Linked DNA regions of Saccharomyces cerevisiae S288C. The protein of the gene in region 1 purifies or fractionates together with the protein of each later gene. This does not show direct contact. Each region holds a gene or a part of one and is shown on either strand. Other genes may lie near its edges.

Evidence for each region. Proteins that work in one complex are often made in the same cells at the same time.
Region 2: the proteins of ENO2 (region 1) and TDH2 purify together in Saccharomyces cerevisiae (affinity purification with mass spectrometry; 2 studies listed by BioGRID, with this or other methods). This does not show direct contact.

What each region holds. Positions count from the first base shown.
Region 1 is NC_001140.6:449,536-457,493, forward strand, and holds ENO2 (phosphopyruvate hydratase ENO2), read left to right. Parts: upstream 1-1,791; coding exon 1,792-3,105; downstream 3,106-7,958. Other genes in the region: gamma-tubulin-complex subunit SPC97, read left to right, coding at 1-1,271; YHR173C (uncharacterized protein), read right to left, coding at 1,280-1,618; CTR2 (low-affinity Cu transporter), read left to right, coding at 3,337-3,906; YHR175W-A (uncharacterized protein), read left to right, coding at 4,023-4,172; FMO1 (N,N-dimethylaniline monooxygenase), read left to right, coding at 4,694-5,992; ROF1 (Rof1p), read left to right, coding at 7,056-7,958.
Region 2 is NC_001142.9:453,183-456,605, forward strand, and holds TDH2 (glyceraldehyde-3-phosphate dehydrogenase (phosphorylating) TDH2), read right to left. Parts: upstream 1,500-3,423; coding exon 501-1,499; downstream 1-500. Other genes in the region: MHO1 (Mho1p), read left to right, coding at 1-264; MET3 (sulfate adenylyltransferase), read left to right, coding at 3,057-3,423. UniProt on the Saccharomyces cerevisiae protein: Glyceraldehyde-3-phosphate dehydrogenase (GAPDH) involved in glycolysis and gluconeogenesis. Catalyzes the reaction of glyceraldehyde-3-phosphate to 1,3 bis-phosphoglycerate.

The DNA of each region.
Region 1 (7,958 bases):
CCAATGAAATATTTTTAAAGCTATTTTTTCAAGGTTACGATTTGATCAATGTATTAAAACATTTGCAACAAATTTTTCTTGGGTATCAATCTGGTCATAATGTTTTAAAGTTTCTAACAAAAAATATGGGTGAGTTGACCAAACACTACAGGAATGATAATAATGCAAACTATGACAAGCTGCTACAAAATTTTGAGTTAGAGAGACAATCCGAAAATCCAAACAACCTGATGAGGCAACTCCTGATGATACAGTTCGATACAGAAACACTTCCACAAGTCTTATCGCACTACCTCCAAATTTATCCAGAAGTACCTGAGAATAACTCAGCAAATGACGACAGCGACCCATTGATGCACGCGAATAATTTCAAGAATATGAATGCCATTCTTTTTGATGAATTAAGCAAAGAACGAACGGGAGCCTACCATGGATCCAATCTAGAACTATATACTCCAAAAAGCGCAATTTATCATTTAAAATTTGACATCAACATACCTTATCCATTGAATATTATTATTAGTAGGACATGCATGATAAAATACCAAATAATCCTGCGCTACCAACTAGTTTTACAATACCACTCAAGGCTTTTGGATGAGACTTGGATGGACTTAAACAAAACACCCAGCTGGAAATACAGAGGCTATTCGCACACTGTGAAGAGGAGGATAGTAAGGGCAACGAGAGTGCTGCATGCTAAGATGAACCACTTCATTAAAACCATCATGGAATATTTCAACCAAAACGTAATTGATAAAGAGGTATACTCATTAGAAAAGTGCTACAGAAATCCTACTCTTGCCGTTGCCATCCAAAATGAGCTAGAAGGTGGATTAACAAATATAATGACAAATCGTTGCTTGTCTGACTTGATTCCACTACAGTTACAAATATTTGACATTGTATATAAGTTTTGCAAGTTCATCAAATCTATGAGAGCAAAATTATGTCAACTGGACCCCGTACTATATGAGAAACACAAAAGCGGGATGATGAAAACACTAAACGAAGGCTATCGTACAAACAATGGCGGTCAGGAAGATGTTGGTTACCAAGAAGATGCCGCCCTGGAATTAATTCAGAAGCTGATTGAATACATTAGCAACGCGTCCAGCATTTTTCGGAAGTGTCTCATAAACTTTACTCAAGAGTTAAGTACTGAAAAATTCGACTTTTATGATAGTTCAAGTGTCGACGCTGCGGGTATAGAAAGGGTTCTTTACTCTATAGTACCTCCTCGCTCAGCATCTGCTTCTTCCCAAAGATGAACGCGGCGTTATGTCACTAACGACGTGCACCAACTTGCGGAAAGTGGAATCCCGTTCCAAAACTGGCATCCACTAATTGATACATCTACACACCGCACGCCTTTTTTCTGAAGCCCACTTTCGTGGACTTTGCCATATGCAAAATTCATGAAGTGTGATACCAAGTCAGCATACACCTCACTAGGGTAGTTTCTTTGGTTGTATTGATCATTTGGTTCATCGTGGTTCATTAATTTTTTTTCTCCATTGCTTTCTGGCTTTGATCTTACTATCATTTGGATTTTTGTCGAAGGTTGTAGAATTGTATGTGACAAGTGGCACCAAGCATATATAAAAAAAAAAAGCATTATCTTCCTACCAGAGTTGATTGTTAAAAACGTATTTATAGCAAACGCAATTGTAATTAATTCTTATTTTGTATCTTTTCTTCCCTTGTCTCAATCTTTTATTTTTATTTTATTTTTCTTTTCTTAGTTTCTTTCATAACACCAAGCAACTAATACTATAACATACAATAATAATGGCTGTCTCTAAAGTTTACGCTAGATCCGTCTACGACTCCCGTGGTAACCCAACCGTCGAAGTCGAATTAACCACCGAAAAGGGTGTTTTCAGATCCATTGTTCCATCTGGTGCCTCCACCGGTGTCCACGAAGCTTTGGAAATGAGAGATGAAGACAAATCCAAGTGGATGGGTAAGGGTGTTATGAACGCTGTCAACAACGTCAACAACGTCATTGCTGCTGCTTTCGTCAAGGCCAACCTAGATGTTAAGGACCAAAAGGCCGTCGATGACTTCTTGTTGTCTTTGGATGGTACCGCCAACAAGTCCAAGTTGGGTGCTAACGCTATCTTGGGTGTCTCCATGGCCGCTGCTAGAGCCGCTGCTGCTGAAAAGAACGTCCCATTGTACCAACATTTGGCTGACTTGTCTAAGTCCAAGACCTCTCCATACGTTTTGCCAGTTCCATTCTTGAACGTTTTGAACGGTGGTTCCCACGCTGGTGGTGCTTTGGCTTTGCAAGAATTCATGATTGCTCCAACTGGTGCTAAGACCTTCGCTGAAGCCATGAGAATTGGTTCCGAAGTTTACCACAACTTGAAGTCTTTGACCAAGAAGAGATACGGTGCTTCTGCCGGTAACGTCGGTGACGAAGGTGGTGTTGCTCCAAACATTCAAACCGCTGAAGAAGCTTTGGACTTGATTGTTGACGCTATCAAGGCTGCTGGTCACGACGGTAAGGTCAAGATCGGTTTGGACTGTGCTTCCTCTGAATTCTTCAAGGACGGTAAGTACGACTTGGACTTCAAGAACCCAGAATCTGACAAATCCAAGTGGTTGACTGGTGTCGAATTAGCTGACATGTACCACTCCTTGATGAAGAGATACCCAATTGTCTCCATCGAAGATCCATTTGCTGAAGATGACTGGGAAGCTTGGTCTCACTTCTTCAAGACCGCTGGTATCCAAATTGTTGCTGATGACTTGACTGTCACCAACCCAGCTAGAATTGCTACCGCCATCGAAAAGAAGGCTGCTGACGCTTTGTTGTTGAAGGTTAACCAAATCGGTACCTTGTCTGAATCCATCAAGGCTGCTCAAGACTCTTTCGCTGCCAACTGGGGTGTTATGGTTTCCCACAGATCTGGTGAAACTGAAGACACTTTCATTGCTGACTTGGTTGTCGGTTTGAGAACTGGTCAAATCAAGACTGGTGCTCCAGCTAGATCCGAAAGATTGGCTAAGTTGAACCAATTGTTGAGAATCGAAGAAGAATTGGGTGACAAGGCTGTCTACGCCGGTGAAAACTTCCACCACGGTGACAAGTTGTAAAGTGCTTTTAACTAAGAATTATTAGTCTTTTCTGCTTATTTTTTCATCATAGTTTAGAACACTTTATATTAACGAATAGTTTATGAATCTATTTAGGTTTAAAAATTGATACAGTTTTATAAGTTACTTTTTCAAAGACTCGTGCTGTCTATTGCATAATGCACTGGAAGGGGAAAAAAAAGGTGCACACGCGTGGCTTTTTCTTGAATTTGCAGTTTGAAAAATAACTACATGGATGATAAGAAAACATGGAGTACAGTCACTTTGAGAACCTTCAATCAGCTGGTAACGTCTTCGTTAATTGGATACTCAAAAAAGATGGATAGCATGAATCACAAGATGGAAGGAAATGCGGGCCACGACCACAGTGATATGCATATGGGAGATGGAGATGATACCTGTTCGATGAATATGCTATTTTCGTGGTCATACAAGAATACGTGTGTCGTCTTTGAATGGTGGCATATCAAGACCCTGCCTGGACTGATTTTAAGTTGTTTAGCAATTTTTGGTCTAGCCTACCTCTATGAGTACTTAAAGTACTGTGTCCATAAGAGACAATTATCCCAGAGAGTATTGTTACCAAATAGATCTCTGACCAAGATCAACCAAGCCGACAAAGTGTCCAATAGTATTCTATATGGTTTGCAAGTGGGATTCTCATTCATGCTCATGCTTGTATTCATGACTTATAATGGTTGGTTAATGTTAGCTGTCGTGTGTGGGGCAATATGGGGTAATTACAGCTGGTGTACTTCGTATAGTCCTGAGATAGATGACAGCTCCCTCGCCTGCCATTAAGATGGTGACAAATATTACAAATTTGATACTATTTGTATCTATTTTGTTTTTATCCGGGATTTTTCGTATTTCTTCCTCATTCATACCCTTCCCTTTATTTGTTCCCACTGAGTATAATGATAAACTACGTTAACATTACATGTATAATATTTAGCACTCGTACGTTACTAGTCTTTGACACAAGTTTATATATCCCCCCCTTTATGTTATCGTTTATTGGCTACAGCCTCAGTAATCAAAATAGTCCACTATTTCTATATCATTAACTTCTGCGTCGCCAAGATGTTAATCATGAAACGATCTAGTTCTTCAACAGTTTGCCAGCGACCATTCGAGCTAATCTTGAACAAAAGTAATACTATTTAAGGGTGGGCGCGGGTTGTTATACCGTTTTGAGACGATCTACTATAACGTTATATTTAATTATATAAGTGATGAATTTAATGTCCCGTCCACAACACGAAATCGCACCTCATTTCAACGCGGCAAGTATTAATGTTCTGCTTTATGAAAGATTCCATGAACCCTTTTCTACCTTTTAAATTCCTCTTTTCACTCTTAATCACATGATATTACCTTTACATAGGAAGCGCCAGACATCTTTTTGCCGAGAAAAGCCATTATGCAAGATAATCCTGTAGCCTCATATCAAGGATAAATGCCACTGCAAAAACGCAGTCGTTATTTGGGACTGTATTTAAATGGGCCACTGTTTTTATACAAGTCGAAAATACAATAATACAGAAAATTCAAGCAGGAAGCGAGAAATAACAAGAAGTAACTAGGCATGACAGTGAATGACAAAAAAAGATTGGCAATCATAGGTGGGGGGCCAGGAGGGTTGGCAGCTGCAAGAGTTTTCTCGCAAAGTCTTCCAAATTTTGAAATAGAAATATTTGTAAAGGATTACGATATTGGCGGTGTCTGGCATTATCCAGAACAAAAAAGTGATGGGAGGGTCATGTATGACCATTTGGAAACCAATATATCAAAGAAGTTAATGCAGTTTAGCGGCTTTCCCTTCGAGGAAAACGTCCCTTTATATCCGTCTCGAAGAAACATTTGGGAATACTTGAAAGCCTATTACAAAACGTTCATTGCCAACAAAGATGCTATCAGCATCCATTTCAGCACCGAAGTTACCTACTTAAAGAAGAAGAACTCTCAATGGGAGATAACATCTAAAGACGAACTAAGGACTACTAAATCGGATTTTGACTTCGTTATTGTTGCGTCTGGTCACTACAGTGTCCCTAAACTACCAACTAATATCGCAGGTCTCGATCTATGGTTCGACAATAAGGGCGCCTTTCATTCTAAGGATTTCAAAAACTGCGAGTTTGCCCGTGAAAAAGTCGTTATTGTGGTGGGAAACGGCAGTTCCGGCCAAGATATTGCCAACCAACTAACTACCGTTGCAAAGAAAGTATATAATAGTATAAAAGAGCCTGCGAGCAATCAACTGAAGGCCAAGTTAATCGAGACTGTCCAAACAATAGACAGTGCCGATTGGAAAAATCGTTCAGTTACTTTATCTGATGGAAGAGTACTTCAGAATATAGACTACATTATTTTCGCCACAGGCTATTATTACAGCTTTCCATTTATAGAGCCCTCCGTTAGACTGGAAGTGCTAGGTGAGGGTGTTACTGGCGACAAGCACTCGTCTGTCAATCTGCACAATTTGTGGGAGCACATGATCTATGTAAAAGATCCTACGCTGTCCTTTATCTTGACCCCGCAGTTGGTCATCCCGTTCCCGTTGTCGGAACTACAGGCGGCTATTATGGTCGAAGTATTCTGTAAAAGCTTACCGATAACTACAACTTTCGACTCTAATGCCTGCGGAACGCACAACTTCCCAAAGGGAAAGGACCTGGAATACTATGCAGAACTACAGGAACTACTGAATAGCATTCCACGTAGGGTCGGTCATTTCGAACCAGTTGTATGGGATGATAGACTGATCGATCTAAGAAACAGTAGTTATACAGACAAAGAAGAAAGAAATGTGCTTCTAGCGGAACACGCACAAGCCCTAAAGAAAAAAAAAGCACCATACTTCCTTCCGGCGCCACATACTTAACGTAAAAAGGAATGTACTTGTATAGAAAAAACACATATTGTGCCGCTTAATATTTCGTTTCCCTCATGTATATACCTTATCGCTGTTAAAATAAGAAATCTTCACTTCTGCTATCTTTTTTTTTCAAACATTGATTAATAATCCGGCCGTCCGCAGATTGCTTACGCAGAATATACCGTACCGCCACCGTAAAATTAACGAATACTTAAATTTCCGCCTCTTCCGTTTCGGCAATAGCGAACCTTAATGTAAGTTTTTAAAAGGCAGCGCCAAAAATTGCTCTGAAAGGCCTGCAGTGCTTCGCGGCTACGCAGTTCCCATGTAAAAAAAAAAGAAAACTTTCTTTTTGAATCTGGAAAATCCGCACAGGCGCGCCAGCATAAACCTCAGTATCCTGCAAAGGCCATCCTTTTAAAGATCTTAACAACGTATGAATCTGAGGCAGAGAGAAATTAAGCGATAAACGTTCCTTTTAGACTTTCACTTTCTTGGCCGTCATTTAAAAAAAAATTATCTAATAATCTCTAATTTTAAGTTGAAATCACGCTAACATATGACTATGACTATTAACCTTTTTATGTGGAAAAAAAAGGAAGAATATGTTGTAAACGTATTTTAGCCTTGTTCCCGGAACTTTAATCACTCTGGCAACTTTTTAAGTAGTCTGTCTTTTTCTCGGTCGTATATTCCTCAAAATTCAAGAGGAAAGAGGAAGTGAAGAAGAAAGCCTAGAAAAAAAAAATAGGCATTAACACAAAAACGCACCTAAGGGACTGAGGAAAATCAAAAAAATGATAATTGCAGTTAGTAAATCTTCATAATCGACGCCCACTTATTCTTTCTTTATAGTACCGGGTAGGCGGGTAATTCATACGTAGCTGCTGCGGGAGAACTACTATGTATCATTCCCTGTTTATTTGTATGAATTATTATTTAATACGTACATTCTTGTAAGCCCTTCTTCAACAAAACAAACAAATAAAGCGAGAAAAAAGGGAACCACGAATTAAGATAATTAATCAAACAATAGATAGGAAAAGGAGATCGACGAGTAAGCGTAAGAATGATGGATATCAGCCCTACCTGTTATGGGTACATCGACGACGAGCAAGATCTAGCCCTTGTTTTCCAGGGCGTATTCAATGGAAATTTGAGATGCATCGAACGGAGGCCATATGATGCAGAAAAGGTTGAATTAGTCAACCCCGGAAACATTTTTGTTTTCAACGAAGAGAAATCCGGCATCAAAAGATGGACAGATGGTTTTTCTTGGTCTCCTTCAAGAATTTCAGGCAAATTTCTCGTATATAGAGAGTATAATAGGCTGGGTTCCACGCACGATCTACCGCTGCATAATGTACCTGAGTATAATATCTTCGAGAGGGCTCATAGGAAGTATTTTTATACTGGACTACTGAAAAAAACATTTTCTCTAAAATTCAATATGGATCCCACCGACAGCACTAAGCTGGAAACATTTCATCTTATTGCGTACTATACGGAAAAGGATATTCATCAAGGAAGTTTGAGGAGACCTTCAGAAAATCCTTTCTTCCATAAATTTCGACCTTCACAGAAACTATTAGATGCTTTACAAAAAGTTGCTGTAGGAAATGGCAGATCTAACCCGTCTAAAAATAATGAGAGAGGCAGAACCAAAGCTCATAATTATAAAACGCGCAGGTCTTTATCATCTTCTCCGAGCTATTGTGATCTCTTGAGCAATTATAACAACCATCCTGGAAATATTCCAGTTAGGACCGCAGTTCAGTTACCTTTAACCACCTTCAATAACGCTCCTCGAGAAATGCACCAACAGCAGCACCGACAACAGCAACAATATCTCTTACCCATAGATGAACAGAATAAATTACCTCTCCCGTATATGCAGCACCAGCCACAACCAATTGGTGTTTACAATCCTAACTATCAGCCTGGATTGAGACGTACGGTCTCACAACCTATG
Region 2 (3,423 bases), on another chromosome or scaffold:
ATGGACAGATATGCGATGAAAACGCTAAGTGATACTCCAAATGGTGAAAGGTACGATGCTTGGAAACAATACTTGGAAATCACCGGAAACACCATATGCGGCGAAAAGCCAATTAGTGTGATACTAAGTGCTTTATCGAAAATCCGTGATGCCGGTCCTTCAGGCATCAAATTTCAGTGGCCTAATTATTCACAGAGTTCTCATGTGACAAGTATTGATGATAGTAGTGTCAGTTATGCTTCAGGTTATGTTACTATAGGATAATGATCACGGCTAAAACGGTCGAATGTAAGCATATATCTTTCGATTGTATAATTGTTCCCAAATACTACAGCATCTCAAGGAAAAAAAAACAAAAACTTCCAAAAAAATCGAATCCCTGAGGAATCTTTAATACATTTTCAATCTATTTAAGTTTTATAAACGTGTATATGAGATGTCATGAGCATGAATTATTAATAATAAAAACTAAATCATTAAAGTAACTTAAGGAGTTAAATTTAAGCCTTGGCAACGTGTTCAACCAAGTCGACAACTCTGGTAGAGTAACCGTATTCGTTGTCGTACCAGGAAACCAACTTGACGAACTTTGGAGACAATTGGATACCAGCGGCAGCATCGAAGATGGAAGAGTTAGAGTCACCCAAGAAGTCAGAGGAGACAACAGCGTCTTCAGTGTAACCCAAGACACCCTTCAACTTACCTTCAGCGGCAGCCTTGACAACCTTCTTGATTTCATCGTAGGTGGTTTCCTTGTTCAACTTGACAGTCAAGTCAACAACGGAAACATCGACGGTTGGGACTCTGAAAGCCATACCGGTCAACTTACCTTGCAATTCTGGCAAGACCTTACCGACAGCCTTAGCAGCACCGGTAGAGGATGGGATGATGTTACCGGAAGCGGTTCTACCACCTCTCCAGTCCTTGTGGGATGGACCGTCAACAGTCTTTTGGGTGGCGGTCATGGAGTGAACAGTGGTCATCAAACCTTCTTCAATACCGAAAGCATCGTTGATAACCTTGGCCAATGGAGCCAAACAGTTGGTGGTACAAGAAGCGTTGGAAACAATCTTCAAGTCAGAAGTGTATTTTTCTTCGTTAACACCCATGACGAACATTGGGGCGGTGGAAGATGGAGCAGTGATGACAACCTTCTTGGCACCAGCGTCAATGTGCTTTTGAGCAGTGTCCAATTCCTTGAAAACACCAGTGGAGTCAATGGCGATGTCAATGTTTAGAGAAGCCCATGGCAAGTTAGCTGGGTCTCTTTCTTGGAAAGTGGCGATCTTGTGACCATCAACGATGATGTGCTTGTCATCGTGGGAAACTTCACCAGCGTATCTACCGTGAGTAGAGTCGTACTTGAACATGTAAGCGGAGTAGTCGTTAGAGATGAAAGGATCGTTCAAAGCAACAACTTCGACGTTCTTTCTTTGCAAAGCAATTCTCATAACCAATCTACCGATTCTACCGAAACCGTTAATAGCAACTCTAACCATTTTGTTTTGTTTGTTTGTGTGATGAATTTAATTTGAAACTAAGTTCTTGGTTTTTTTAACATTTAAACAAACAATAATAAAATGAATAGACACACAAGAAAAAAACTATCTTGAATGAGTGCAACCTTTATATATTCTTCCAAACCTACAAAAAAATTGCAGGTCTGCGATCACTGGGTACTATCAAAACACATATTAGCATACGTATGTGTTCGTACGTGCGGTCCGCAAGGTCTTTGTGACAGCCATGACATGATTGGATTGAATAGTTCACTTCAGCTGTCACCACCAGTTTTAGGCCCTAACACATCAGTCGAGTTCCACTAGGCTTTGTTAGCCGTAGCTGCGTTGCAACAACTGCGCAAAACGCGCGACTTCCTGTAAATGCCGCAGATCACGTGGTAAAGAAAAGAAACAACAGGCCGACCCAGTTTCGTTGTTTCTTTTCATTATTTCTGGATGCTCTTCACAACGTATTTCATGACATACTTATTGAATTAGTGGAAGCCCAAAACATCATTACCCTGGAAAACTTAATTGACGTAAATTAACTTCAGTTGTCTTATGTTTTTTGCATCCTTAACTTTAGCCGCGCAGGGATAATCATATATGTCGAAAGAGCAACTAAACAATACTTAAAAACGTGTTTGAACTTTTACGAAAGGGTAACGACAAATAATCATTCACTGGAAAAACCAATAAACCATAAGTAAATGAAAAACTGTTTCAACCGATGTTGGTACTTTCCATGTCTTAAAAGAGTACAATTTATAAATTAATGAAAACACAGAAGTATTTAGATCGGCTCAAATGTTTTTGGACATTAAAAGATCTTGAAACTGAGTAAGATGCTCAGAATACCCGTCAAGATAAGAGTATAATGTAGAGTAATATACCAAGTATTCAGCATATTCTCCTCTTCTTTTGTATAAATCACGGAAGGGATGATTTATAAGAAAAATGAATACTATTACACTTCATTTACCACCCTCTGATCTAGATTTTCCAACGATATGTACGTAGTGGTATAAGGTGAGGGGGTCCACAGATATAACATCGTTTAATTTAGTACTAACAGAGACTTTTGTCACAACTACATATAAGTGTACAAATATAGTACAGATATGACACACTTGTAGCGCCAACGCGCATCCTACGGATTGCTGACAGAAAAAAAGGTCACGTGACCAGAAAAGTCACGTGTAATTTTGTAACTCACCGCATTCTAGCGGTCCCTGTCGTGCACACTGCACTCAACACCATAAACCTTAGCAACCTCCAAAGGAAATCACCGTATAACAAAGCCACAGTTTTACAACTTAGTCTCTTATGAAGTTACTTACCAATGAGAAATAGAGGCTCTTTCTCGAGAAATATGAATATGGATATATATATATATATATATATATATATATATATATATGTAAACTTGGTTCTTTTTTAGCTTGTGATCTCTAGCTTGGGTCTCTCTCTGTCGTAACAGTTGTGATATCGTTTCTTAACAATTGAAAAGGAACTAAGAAAGTATAATAATAACAAGAATAAAGTATAATTAACATGCCTGCTCCTCACGGTGGTATTCTACAAGACTTGATTGCTAGAGATGCGTTAAAGAAGAATGAATTGTTATCTGAAGCGCAATCTTCGGACATTTTAGTATGGAACTTGACTCCTAGACAACTATGTGATATTGAATTGATTCTAAATGGTGGGTTTTCTCCTCTGACTGGGTTTTTGAACGAAAACGATTACTCCTCTGTTGTTACAGATTCGAGATTAGCAGACGGCACATTGTGGACCATCCCTATTACATTAGATGTTGATGAAGCATTTGCTAACCAAATTAAACCAGACACAAGAATTGCCCTTTTCCAAGATGATGAAATTCCTATTGCTATACTTACTGTCCAGGATGTTTACAAGC